Linked DNA regions of Arabidopsis thaliana. The protein of the gene in region 2 interacts with the protein of the main gene of each other region in a pairwise test. Each region holds a gene or a part of one and is shown on either strand. Other genes may lie near its edges. The genes, in order: OFP8, HTA13 and AT2G18670.

What was found.
Region 1: the proteins of HTA13 (region 2) and OFP8 interact in a two-hybrid assay, tested with the Arabidopsis thaliana proteins (one large-scale study listed by BioGRID).
Region 3: the proteins of HTA13 (region 2) and AT2G18670 interact in a two-hybrid assay, tested with the Arabidopsis thaliana proteins (one large-scale study listed by BioGRID).

What each region holds. Positions count from the first base shown.
Region 1 is NC_003076.8:6,638,796-6,642,299, reverse strand, and holds OFP8 (ovate family protein 8), read left to right. Parts: upstream 1-1,891; 5' UTR 1,892-2,002; coding exon 2,003-2,668; 3' UTR 2,669-2,845; downstream 2,846-3,504. Other genes in the region: S1P (SITE-1 protease), read left to right, coding at 97-182. UniProt on the Arabidopsis thaliana protein: Transcriptional repressor that regulates multiple aspects of plant growth and development through the regulation of BEL1-LIKE (BLH) and KNOX TALE (KNAT) homeodomain transcription factors.
Region 2 is NC_003074.8:7,227,350-7,230,658, forward strand, and holds HTA13 (histone H2A 13), read left to right. Parts: upstream 1-2,040; 5' UTR 2,041-2,122; coding exon 2,123-2,311; intron 2,312-2,404; coding exon 2,405-2,614; 3' UTR 2,615-2,797; downstream 2,798-3,309. Other genes in the region: OCT4 (organic cation/carnitine transporter4), read right to left, coding at 750-1,161; AT3G20680 (plant/protein (DUF1995)), read right to left, coding at 2,798-3,309.
Region 3 is NC_003071.7:8,091,526-8,095,365, forward strand, and holds AT2G18670 (RING/U-box superfamily protein), read left to right. Parts: upstream 1-1,694; 5' UTR 1,695-1,943; coding exon 1,944-2,485; intron 2,486-2,923; coding exon 2,924-2,927; 3' UTR 2,928-3,254; downstream 3,255-3,840. Other genes in the region: PNP-A (plant natriuretic peptide A), read right to left, coding at 5-119; AT2G18680 (uncharacterized protein), read left to right, coding at 3,255-3,840; AT2G18685 (uncharacterized protein), read right to left, coding at 3,299-3,502.

The DNA.
Region 1 (3,504 bases), on a different chromosome or scaffold from region 2:
GAAGATATTTAGTCTCTTGCTTAACCTTTCATTGCATGATCAGTATGATTCTTGTTTCCAAAGTAGGTCATCAAACTTTTTCGGGTTGTGTTGTAGGAGTTCTAGTGCTACTAAGCATATGGAGAATCAGGCAGAAGAGGGGTAGGCGGAGAAGAGCATCAGGGTCGAATCGATTAGCCTAGCATATAGCCGTGTCTGGGGTCCAGTCTTTTTTCTACTGTCATTTACACTGACCACAGAATGTAGTCTCACTTTTACTTGGAAAACTGGCAATTTTGTTTTAGGTAAATCATTTTTAAAATCATCATTCAAAGAGCTAAAATATGTAGGAAGAAATACTAATTTCTAAAAACATTAGCCTCCACTAAAAAAAACAATTTTATTTGAAATGTATCATGCATACCCAAATTAGTGTAAACTTTTTGAAATTCAAATAGGAAGAGGCAGATAATATGGTCCCCAACCTGCCACCACACCAAAACCTAACAATAACGTAAAAAAGGTAAATTAGATTAGCCAATAAGCATATACACTTCCAAACATCAGACCTATCATTCCTCCTCCTTTTTTCTTTATAAGAAATATTTCAATTGTCCTTAGGAATTTGCATTTAGGAAGTCTGCTCTAGCAGCTGAAAATTAATAAATCATGCTAAATTGACTATATAGGCTATAGTGGTCCTCCACTTGGCCAGGTTCTCTGTTTTCATTGGGGTTCGATCCCCATAGTGGGATTATATGCATGGGCTGCTCCACTGGAGCAGAGGAAGAAAATTCATTCTTTGTTTTTTTTTTTTTTTTTTTCATTTCTTCAACATGTTGAAAGAAACGATTGTGGAGAAGATTTATACATCAGTGTTCGACTTCGATGGTTACATTAATGAAAATTAGTTTTGAAAAATGTTAGTAGTCGGATGGACACAACAATACCTAATCTTTATAGACATTGCAGTTTTAAAACTTTACCTTGCGACGACTAAACATGCAATTTGATTAATGATCATATTTCAAGATTTTCAATATATATTCATTTTATTAAACAAAAGTCCATTAGGATAGATGGAATGTTTTCAGTTTCATCAAACTACCATTGATGATTTCAAAAAGTAAATCTTATTTGCAAGTTTTGGAAAATTTTGTTTATTGGTAAATGAATCTCTCCTTTTTCTTGTTACGAAAGTCAATGTTATCTATTTTATTTACTTGCAGATATAATCTGACTTTTGGTGATCATCGTGCACAACCTTTCTGTGTAATTGTCATTTTCAATCATTTAATTTTGAATTAAGTTGCCTTTTTGAAAAAACGTTCATTCTCCAAAACCGATGCACGAATTCCGGGGAGAAGTTTCAATTATGCATCGTTAAAAAAGAATTCAGAATTGTATCACCAAAACTTTGTAACGTTAACGTAAGATTGACTATAGTACTTAATTACTTCTGGTACTACAATGCAAATCCTTTAAGTTAACAATGATAAAATCTTCCAAGTAGAAGAAGTTTTAACAAACTCTACTTTTTAAGTTGCCTGATAATGAGGAATTCGAAAAGCTAAAGAAACTGACTGTTATATAAATAAAAAAAATCAAAGAGAAACTGACTTTTACTAGTCTACAAGATGACAAACATTACAAAACAGTTTCATGTCAAATTTTCAAAATTAAAATATTTTAAAATTAGTGAAAAACGAGCAAAGCAAGGTCAAGCGTCTCTACCTAAAATAAAAACAGAAAGAAAAAAGCAACAAGGAAATTCCAATGGTTAATTTTTGTGTCAGCAATTCGAATAGTTTAAGATAAAGACGACAGTGAAATGACAAAAGACATTGCAGAAAGAGTTAAACGTAAAAAGTTGTAATCATTAAATTATCATAAATATTACGAAAAATGAATGCTAGTACAAGAAAAAACACAACAGAGAATTTATCTCTCCTTCCCTCAAAAGTCTTATATCACACGACTTTAATACACCATCTTCATTAGTCTCTCTCGATATTCTCTAAACATGGAGAAGAGAATGAAGCTCCGGGTTTCAAGAATAGTCCGGTCATCTTTAAGCTCTTGCCGACCACGAGATCTATACGACGTCGTCGAGACTTGTGCTGTTACAAGTAAAGCAACGTCTTCCGAGAGGTTCTTCGTTACCAAAGCCAAAACCAAAACTCCATCACGACCAAAGAGTCATGCTTCTTCTTGCCCTCGTGCGTCACCTATATTCCCACCAAACCCTTTCTACGAAGAGAGCCGTTCATTTCGAGATTTAAGGAAGAAGGTCAAGACAAACAGGAAGCAAAGATCGCAGTTTGGTTCTGACCCTCTCTTTGCCTCACGTTTTAAGTCAACCGGGTCTTGGTACTGGTCTTGTAGTGAGGAAGAAGACGAAGGAGACAAAGAAGAAAGTGAAGATGATGATTCTGATACTCTCTTTTCTTCTAGAAGCTTCTCCTCGGACTCTTCAAAGGCGGAGAGTTTTGCGGTGGTGAAGAAGTCAAAGGATCCATATGAAGATTTCAGGACGTCAATGGTGGAGATGATTGTTGAGAGACAGATATTTGCACCGGCTGAGTTACAACAGCTTCTTCAGTGTTTTTTGTCGTTAAACTCTCGTCAACACCACAAAGTTATTGTCCAAGTGTTCTTAGAAATTTATGCCACCTTGTTCTCTCCCTAATTTCTATATCTACTTTTTAACATCTTTTGCTAAAATGTACTATTTTGAGTCTTGAATCTTGCTTTAGTGGTTGGTTCTTTTTTTCGACTAGATTCTTTTGTTTTCAGATTATCTTTGTCTTAGCCTTTCTCTGTATTTTGATTTTCATGAACCAAATTGAGTTACTTTACAAGAAAACGGTAGGCCTTAAAAACAGACAGCGACATACCATTTAAAGCATTGAACACTTTATCAAGACCTAAAGAATTTTCTGCATATATTGTTGTGTACAGTTTATTAAAAAAAACAATATATAAACTAGACATAGATAAGAAAATTCAAACTTTTTAAATAGATTGAATACACATCATTTTTTTCTCATAGATATATATCATGAGTATCAAAATTAAATTTATTACAAAGAAATATATATTTATATAAGAAATCAATACTGTATCTTATAAATCACAAGTCCCTTTACCAATAGTATTGTGAAATGTGTCCATTCACAAAACAAAATTAATAAGAAAAACAAGTTTCTCTAAAATGTGACGAAACAACGGTTATTTTTTTAAAATAAATCCAAGTTTTTCCACGAGCCATATTTATAGGAGCATGAATTTTAAAAACAAAATAGAAAAATACAGTTATTTGTCTTTTTAAAAAAACTTCTATTGCGACATAACTTCTGTGCAAGATAGTACAGTATTTAATTTTTAGTTGAAAGCTTGACAAAAAAATGTCACATTAGCTTTAATCATATTGGCTAACATTGCCATTCATAGACACAAGATTTTCATTGTTATTAATCTTATAAAACTATTGAAGATAACAAAACATGTTATTCAAACGACTAG
Region 2 (3,309 bases):
ATCAACTCGTTAGTCAGTCACACGTATATTATACATTTTTTTTGGGTCATTTTAGTAGTTTTGTTTTCTTTTTTTGGCACCAATCATACCTATCAAAGTCTATCTTTTCTTCTTCGCCAATCATTTTTTTTACGTGTGTAAACTTGGACCGCCTAATGGGTTAAAATTTTAAAGCATTATCATCCAAAATTTATAATATACTATAGAAATGAAAGGTATATCGGAAAAAAAGTGAGGTATATCTTTACTCTATAGTGTTATTTTCTAAAATTCGGATAATCATAAAAGATTCATGTGATCAAGGCACGTGGTACGAATATCCAGATTCAAGCCAACGTGCCCATTGATCTGCTCTTACTAATTTATTGGTGCGATCGATATACACTAGCTAAGTTATGCACACAACTAACAACTAATTTATTGTTTGTTGATATATTCATTAATTATCGGATAATCACGTAAAGAGCTAAATCCACTAAATTACAAGTTCATAATTTTAGAATGATTTTTTTTTTTGTCTTATCGAATTAGATAAGACACTCAGAAACTATACTAAACTCCTAATTATGTATTTATTTATTTTTCTTAAGAAGATAATCCAAGATTAGAGTTTAATCTTCTTTTTTTGACTGTAATTAGAAAAACTATTCGACGTGAAAAAAATCATTTTCACGCTACAGCTGTAATTTACTGTTTTTGTAATTTTCCTAAATCACAAAAAAAATATAGAAGGGAAAAAAAAAACTTACCGATCATGCAGCCGGCGAAGAAGAGAGCCTGAACAAGACCAACTTTATACTTGTCGCCGCAAATCAATCCCCACTCCGACACCGTGGAGCTCCCTTTACCCGCCGTCCATTCCCAAGAACTCGGATCCAACTCGCAGTTCAATGACCCGACCCGACAATCCGACCCGACGCATCTCCACTCGGGTTCTTGATCGGCAAATATCATCACCATCGTGTGGAACGCCTCTAAAGCCCAAGCAATACACGTCAACACGAAGTGTTTCAACTGCCACCTCCCAAACTCGCCGCAATATCTTTGTAACATCTCATCTATGCATAATCTCTCCTCTCCCTCCGCTTCTTTCTTCACCGGAATTTTCTCTAGCAGCGGTTGTCGGACATCGTTACCGTTTCTATCCTCCGGAGATTCCATAATTTATGTTTTGATTTTTACAGTGTTTTTGTTTTTGTGTTTGTGTTTTTGTTTAAAAGGCGTTCTTGATTTGGTTTGACGCGAAGAAGGAGGTGGCTTCTTTGTCGTATTTATATCTCTTGTTTATCGGAAAACAATTTTTCCTTCTTTTTTTCTCTAGCGTTTTTTATTCTCTTTTGATTTAGTAACTATTTTTTTTTGTTGACGATATTGACTACATGCTCTGCTTATATATATTTTAACTATGTCATGTTATTAACGTTTATGAGTTGTCACTTTGAAAATTAGTAAGACACATCATGTATTATTTCTCAAATTAGTATTGTACATTTCATTTCAAAGTCAAAAACACATGATTCTATATATGGTTGATTACCTAATGTGTAATCGTGAATTAGTAATTAATACGACATGCTAAAAATTGATTAATCATGTTTAGAAAAATATATACTATGATAAACCTGAAATTGTGTCACACAATTTTGATGAATGTATATACCACATTTCCATATTATACGTTTTAAAAGTAAGATTTTCATAAATTTTAAAATTATTCATAACATTCACTAAAATTAGATGTGTATAATTAACAAACTAAAAATATCATTAATCTACTATTTTAGTAGTTATTTTGCGAAAATATGTTTGAGTTACAAAATATTTTCACTATTTAAATCATGTCGATTATACCCACTGAAGGGTATTTCCGTCAATCCCAATTCTAACAATGAATTCAGGAGTATAAAAACGTAAATTCAAGCGTGCCAATTATAAACCGTCGATCATAATCTAATCCAACGGCAGTAACATCGATCCGCGTGATTGTTTATTATTGGATAAGAATCACTCAACCGTCTCTACACAGTATATATAATAACCAAAGAGCGTCCTCTTACGCTTATCTTAATTTCCCTCGCATTGAGAATTTTCAACTTTTTCTATCTCTCTTCCCAAATCACAAATGGCGGGTCGCGGCAAAACTCTCGGATCTGGCGTTGCTAAGAAATCAACATCGAGAAGCAGCAAAGCCGGTCTCCAATTCCCCGTTGGTCGTATCGCTCGTTTTCTAAAGAACGGCAAGTACGCAACACGTGTTGGTGCCGGAGCTCCGGTTTACTTAGCCGCCGTTCTCGAATACCTCGCCGCTGAGGTAATTATCCCCTTCTCTCCCTATATCTCTTTACTCTTTCGATCTTCAATTTCGTAAAACCCTAATTTCTAAATTGGATCTGTTGTGTTGTAGGTATTGGAATTGGCTGGAAACGCAGCTAGGGATAACAAGAAGACTAGGATTGTGCCACGTCACATTCAGCTCGCGGTGAGAAACGATGAGGAGCTGAGTAAACTGCTTGGAGATGTGACGATTGCTAATGGAGGTGTGATGCCTAACATTCACAGTCTTCTTCTTCCCAAGAAAGCTGGTGCTTCAAAACCTTCCGCTGATGAAGATTAGATTAGGGATTTGTGTTGTGGTTGTTTAGCTAATTAATGTGTAGCTTAGTCTTTCATTAGATTAGATCTGAATTAGTTTTCATTAATGGTGTTGTGTAGTCTCTCTTTTGCTTCAAAAACAAGTATTAAAATCTTATTATTTTGAATTGAATCCACAATCAATACACATTGAAGTCCTAACAAACTACTTCTTCCCAGTGATATTTGAAACCAAATCACTAAGAAACTTAGCTGATTTGGTAATAGGAGAATTCATAGCCATCAAGTTATACAGAACAAGCTCAACTTCTTCGATTGATGGTCGAGAATTGAATTGTGAAACAACTTTCAAAGTACCATTACCTTCTTCTTCTTCAACGAGAACATTCCATCTTTCTCCACTCACAACACCGTCTCTTACACACTTAAAGATCACTCCTTTTCTCTTACTAAACACTCCTCTCACTTCTAAGCCAGTGAACGCATAAATCACTTCAAAGGAACCAATAAAGCCATCTCCAAAGCTTTTCTCTTCTTCAAACAACCATCTCGGATTGATCATTACTACAGGTTTTGTAGAAAAAGCTTCACTCGCGGTCTTAACATCCTCCAGCTGCGATTTCTCCGGAGCCATGAAGATCGCCACGTCAGCAGATCTCAGAGCTGTTTTAAGAGAGTCTGAGACCGGAGACATGGCAATGTGGTGGATAGAGTCTG
Region 3 (3,840 bases), on a different chromosome or scaffold from region 2:
GTACTAGTGTAGGGAGGGTCGTAATAGACAGCTTTTCCTTGAGCAGCTTCAGCGATTGGAGCTAAGATTTGTGCAAACACTATCATCACTACCACAAATTTTACTGCCATTTTTATCATTTTCTTTAACTTGTTTGTGAAATAACGAAGCAAAGGGAAGCGAGTATTTATATATAATTGGACTCAAAGACTGTAAGTAAAAGGAAAAGTCTTTGGTCTACGTCAAGTCTTCCATTACTTATTGTATTGATTTCATACAGGACAATTTGTTATTCCTTACTCCACCTAAATTTTCTTGGTGAATTGAATGAATATGAATATATGATGATGTGTGAAGGAAAATTCCACGAGGGTTTGAAATTTAAAGTTCATTTTTTTTTTCTTTGTGGATATTATTTTCACAAAGCTGCGAAGGAAATTTCGAAGAAACTAAGGAGGGTATTCTCAACATCACTTCGAATCCTACCTTGAGAAAATTCTCAACCTTACCCAAATCCAAAACCATCGGGAAAAGTATAACCGTCTTTTAAACCTTCTGATGAGTGTTAGGTTCTAACGTTAGGACCATCTACTAAAACAAAATGTGTTAATGAAGAAAGTCCCACATTAAAAATTAAAAATTATCAAATAGTATATAAAGTGTTAGGGTCACTCCACCTATTACCAATTGATTTTTAGTTGAAATCTCATATTAAAAGCCCAAATCTATCATGGTATCCGAGTCAGATTGTTCTTCAACTTTTCTAAACATATAAAAAAATAACTTGAACAAAAGGTAATAGTGAAATCTAGAATATTCTTCGGACTTCACGTACTTGCTCCCTAAGATATCTCCAATATTCGGTTTGTTACATAACACCAATAAAATTAGTCAAATGATGAAGTATGAAAAACAAATTTGCTTTATTGACCTCTTTTACAAGAGAAAGACAAATGTCTCTTCTTTATTTTATTTTTTTGAATCAAGACAAATTTCTCTTTGTTATCATGTCAAGTAAATCTGCGTTTATGAATTCAACATTCTGGAAAATAATTGGGCTTAGTGGGCCTTCAAATATCATTTTATGTAAAGGCCCAAATCTCTATATACCAATTAAACTTTCTATCGCTGAGAAAGAGATTTGATCAAATTAAACTTAAGATAACGATTGCCCTTACCGAGGAAGTTGCCTTTGTCGGCTTGTCGCTATAATTCATCAATCAAAGATTCAAAATATAAAAAATGAGATTTTAACTTTTAAGCATATGTCATTTGTGTTGTTATATCATCGTCCAAGTTTAAATTTACAAAACGTATATTGTTAAGAAAAAAAGAGAGCAAACCAAAAGAATGTACAAAATTTCAAAACGTCCGAATCAAACGACAAGCTATGTTCAGAACGAGTATTTAGAATTAGTAGCGATTCCATAGGCCTCCAAGTACGAATATTACTTTTAAAACTAAATTATAAGTTCGAATATTCCATCTTTTTCCATACTATGGTCTTAAAAACAGTGGGATGATGATATTTGCTTATCCTTCAAGATAATGTTTAAAATTATTGGATGAGAAGATATTTCTTATTATTTATATTTCTTGTAGACATGGAGCCAAAAAAATTTATATATATATATAAAAATTAAAATCTTTTATCACATGATCCAAAGCCCAAAAAGTAAAATAAAAAGTATCTCATCACATGACCATTTTTAACCAAACGTTACTGTCACTAAATGAAATCTATTTTTCTTTCTTAAATTTTGCTCTGACAAATATTTTTGATTGCGTCATTTTCTACTTTGGAAATGTCTTTGATTTAGCATTTCAGTTCGCTCAAAACATCAAATCTTACCTTCTTTAGCTTTCACATTAGATTCTGGTAATTATTAGCACAAAAAAAAGATAAGCCAGAATACGAAACAACCAAAAAAAGAGGAGAATTCTTTTTTTTTTTTTTCTTTCCGATGCCTCCGACCAATAATTACCGAATCTCCGGCGAACCACCGTCTACTACGCCGTCTCATCCACCGCCAAAACCGAAAACAAGGATTCTCTCTCTATTCCTCGTTGGTGTAATCATGTTTTCAATCTTCTTTCTCTTCCTCGTTCTTATCGGTATCGCCTCTGTTCTTATCCTCCCTCTCCTCCTCTCTTCTCTCCATCGTCACCACCGACGTCGTCGTCGTAATCGCCGACAAGAATCCTCAGATGGGTTATCTTCAAGATTCGTGAAAAAGCTTCCTCAATTCAAATTCTCCGAACCTAGCACATACACACGGTACGAGAGCGATTGTGTGGTTTGTTTTGATGGATTCAGACAAGGACAATGGTGTCGGAATCTTCCTGGTTGTGGACACGTGTTTCATCGAAAGTGTGTGGACACTTGGTTGCTCAAAGCCTCGACGTGTCCTATTTGCAGAGCTAGGGTTAGATTGTGGGAGGAAGATCCACAAGAAGGAGAATTATGGAGATGTTTTGGTCATAGAAGAAGTAGTTTGCTAGATTTGTAAGTGCTATGTTTCTTGTTTTTGTTTTGTTTCAATCATATTTGGATTAGAAGTTATAATCATTTAATAATGTTTTAAGCTCATTCAACATAGTTATAGTTTCTAACTCGTTCTTGATGACTAGTTCGTTGGAGGAGACTAATTGCTTCATTATTGGTTTATAGAATGATTAGAACCCTTAAGCTCTCGAAAAATATATAAATAGATAGATATGTAGTCGTTTTCAGTTTTAACACGGTGCTACAGAGTTTCTTGACCGATTCAACACGAATTGTTGAACATGTTACCGAGCTCTTGTTTTCTCTCTTTAACATCTCTATTTGTGTCGCTGTCAGGAAGTAATTGTTTAGACTTTTCATCGATGTGTTATACTTCGGTTTCTTGTTCTTGAATTTGTCTAAGTCTTGGTTTCTTTCGTTTGATTTTTGATTGAATAGGTAATATTGTGTGGTTATGTAGACGTGGACTCAGTCTAATGGATGATAAGAATCTCCAAAACTGAAGCTACGAAGAGGTACAATACAAGCCAAGGACTCTTTCCTCCATAGAGAAGTAGCGGGTCGATCTTATGGTAATATATAAGCACTAAGCAGATGGGCGTTTGATCATATAAACCCTCACTACCATTACCAAAAAGCAATAGCCAAGAGCTTTTTTTTTCATTTTCTTTTTGAAAGCCATGGATCGGTTTTCGTTCTTGAATGTTATAATGGAGGTTGCGGGTATTCTAAATGAATCCCGCAAACTCTCCTCAAGAACAAAAAGTTGATGTTCTCAGTCTTGGTATTCCCTCTCTTACTCAATTGTTTAGTTTACTTGTTCAACGCCATTGCCATCAAACCCGAGATAACAAACTTGATCCTTGAATCAAGTTTGTTACCTATGACAGATCCAAACACCCCGGAATTTGCTGCCCATCTTATGAGAGTCTTTGTAGATTTTCGCCAGTTTGTCAATTCTTTATACATCTTCATCGCCGTCTCCTCCATCATCAACCTTTTATCCACTCTTGTCATGGTTCATGCATCGGCTCTTACTCATAAAGATGATAGCTTCGAGATCAAAGATTTTCCGATTCTGACGCTTAAATATTGGAAGGGACCTCTTGTGACCAATTTCTATATTGTTCTCTTCAGTCTTGGCTATTGGTTCCTATTCTTTATAGTCCTATTTTCTATCGTTTTCTTCTCTACAAAACTCGATTCCTTGGCAGCCAAATCTCGCGCTTTATTCATTGTATTTGCAGTCTTTGAGTCTTACTTAGCTATCGTTTGGAACTTATCTATGGTCATATCGATACTCGAGGATACTTATGGGATCCAAGCTTTGGGGAAAGCTGCAAAGATTGTTAAAG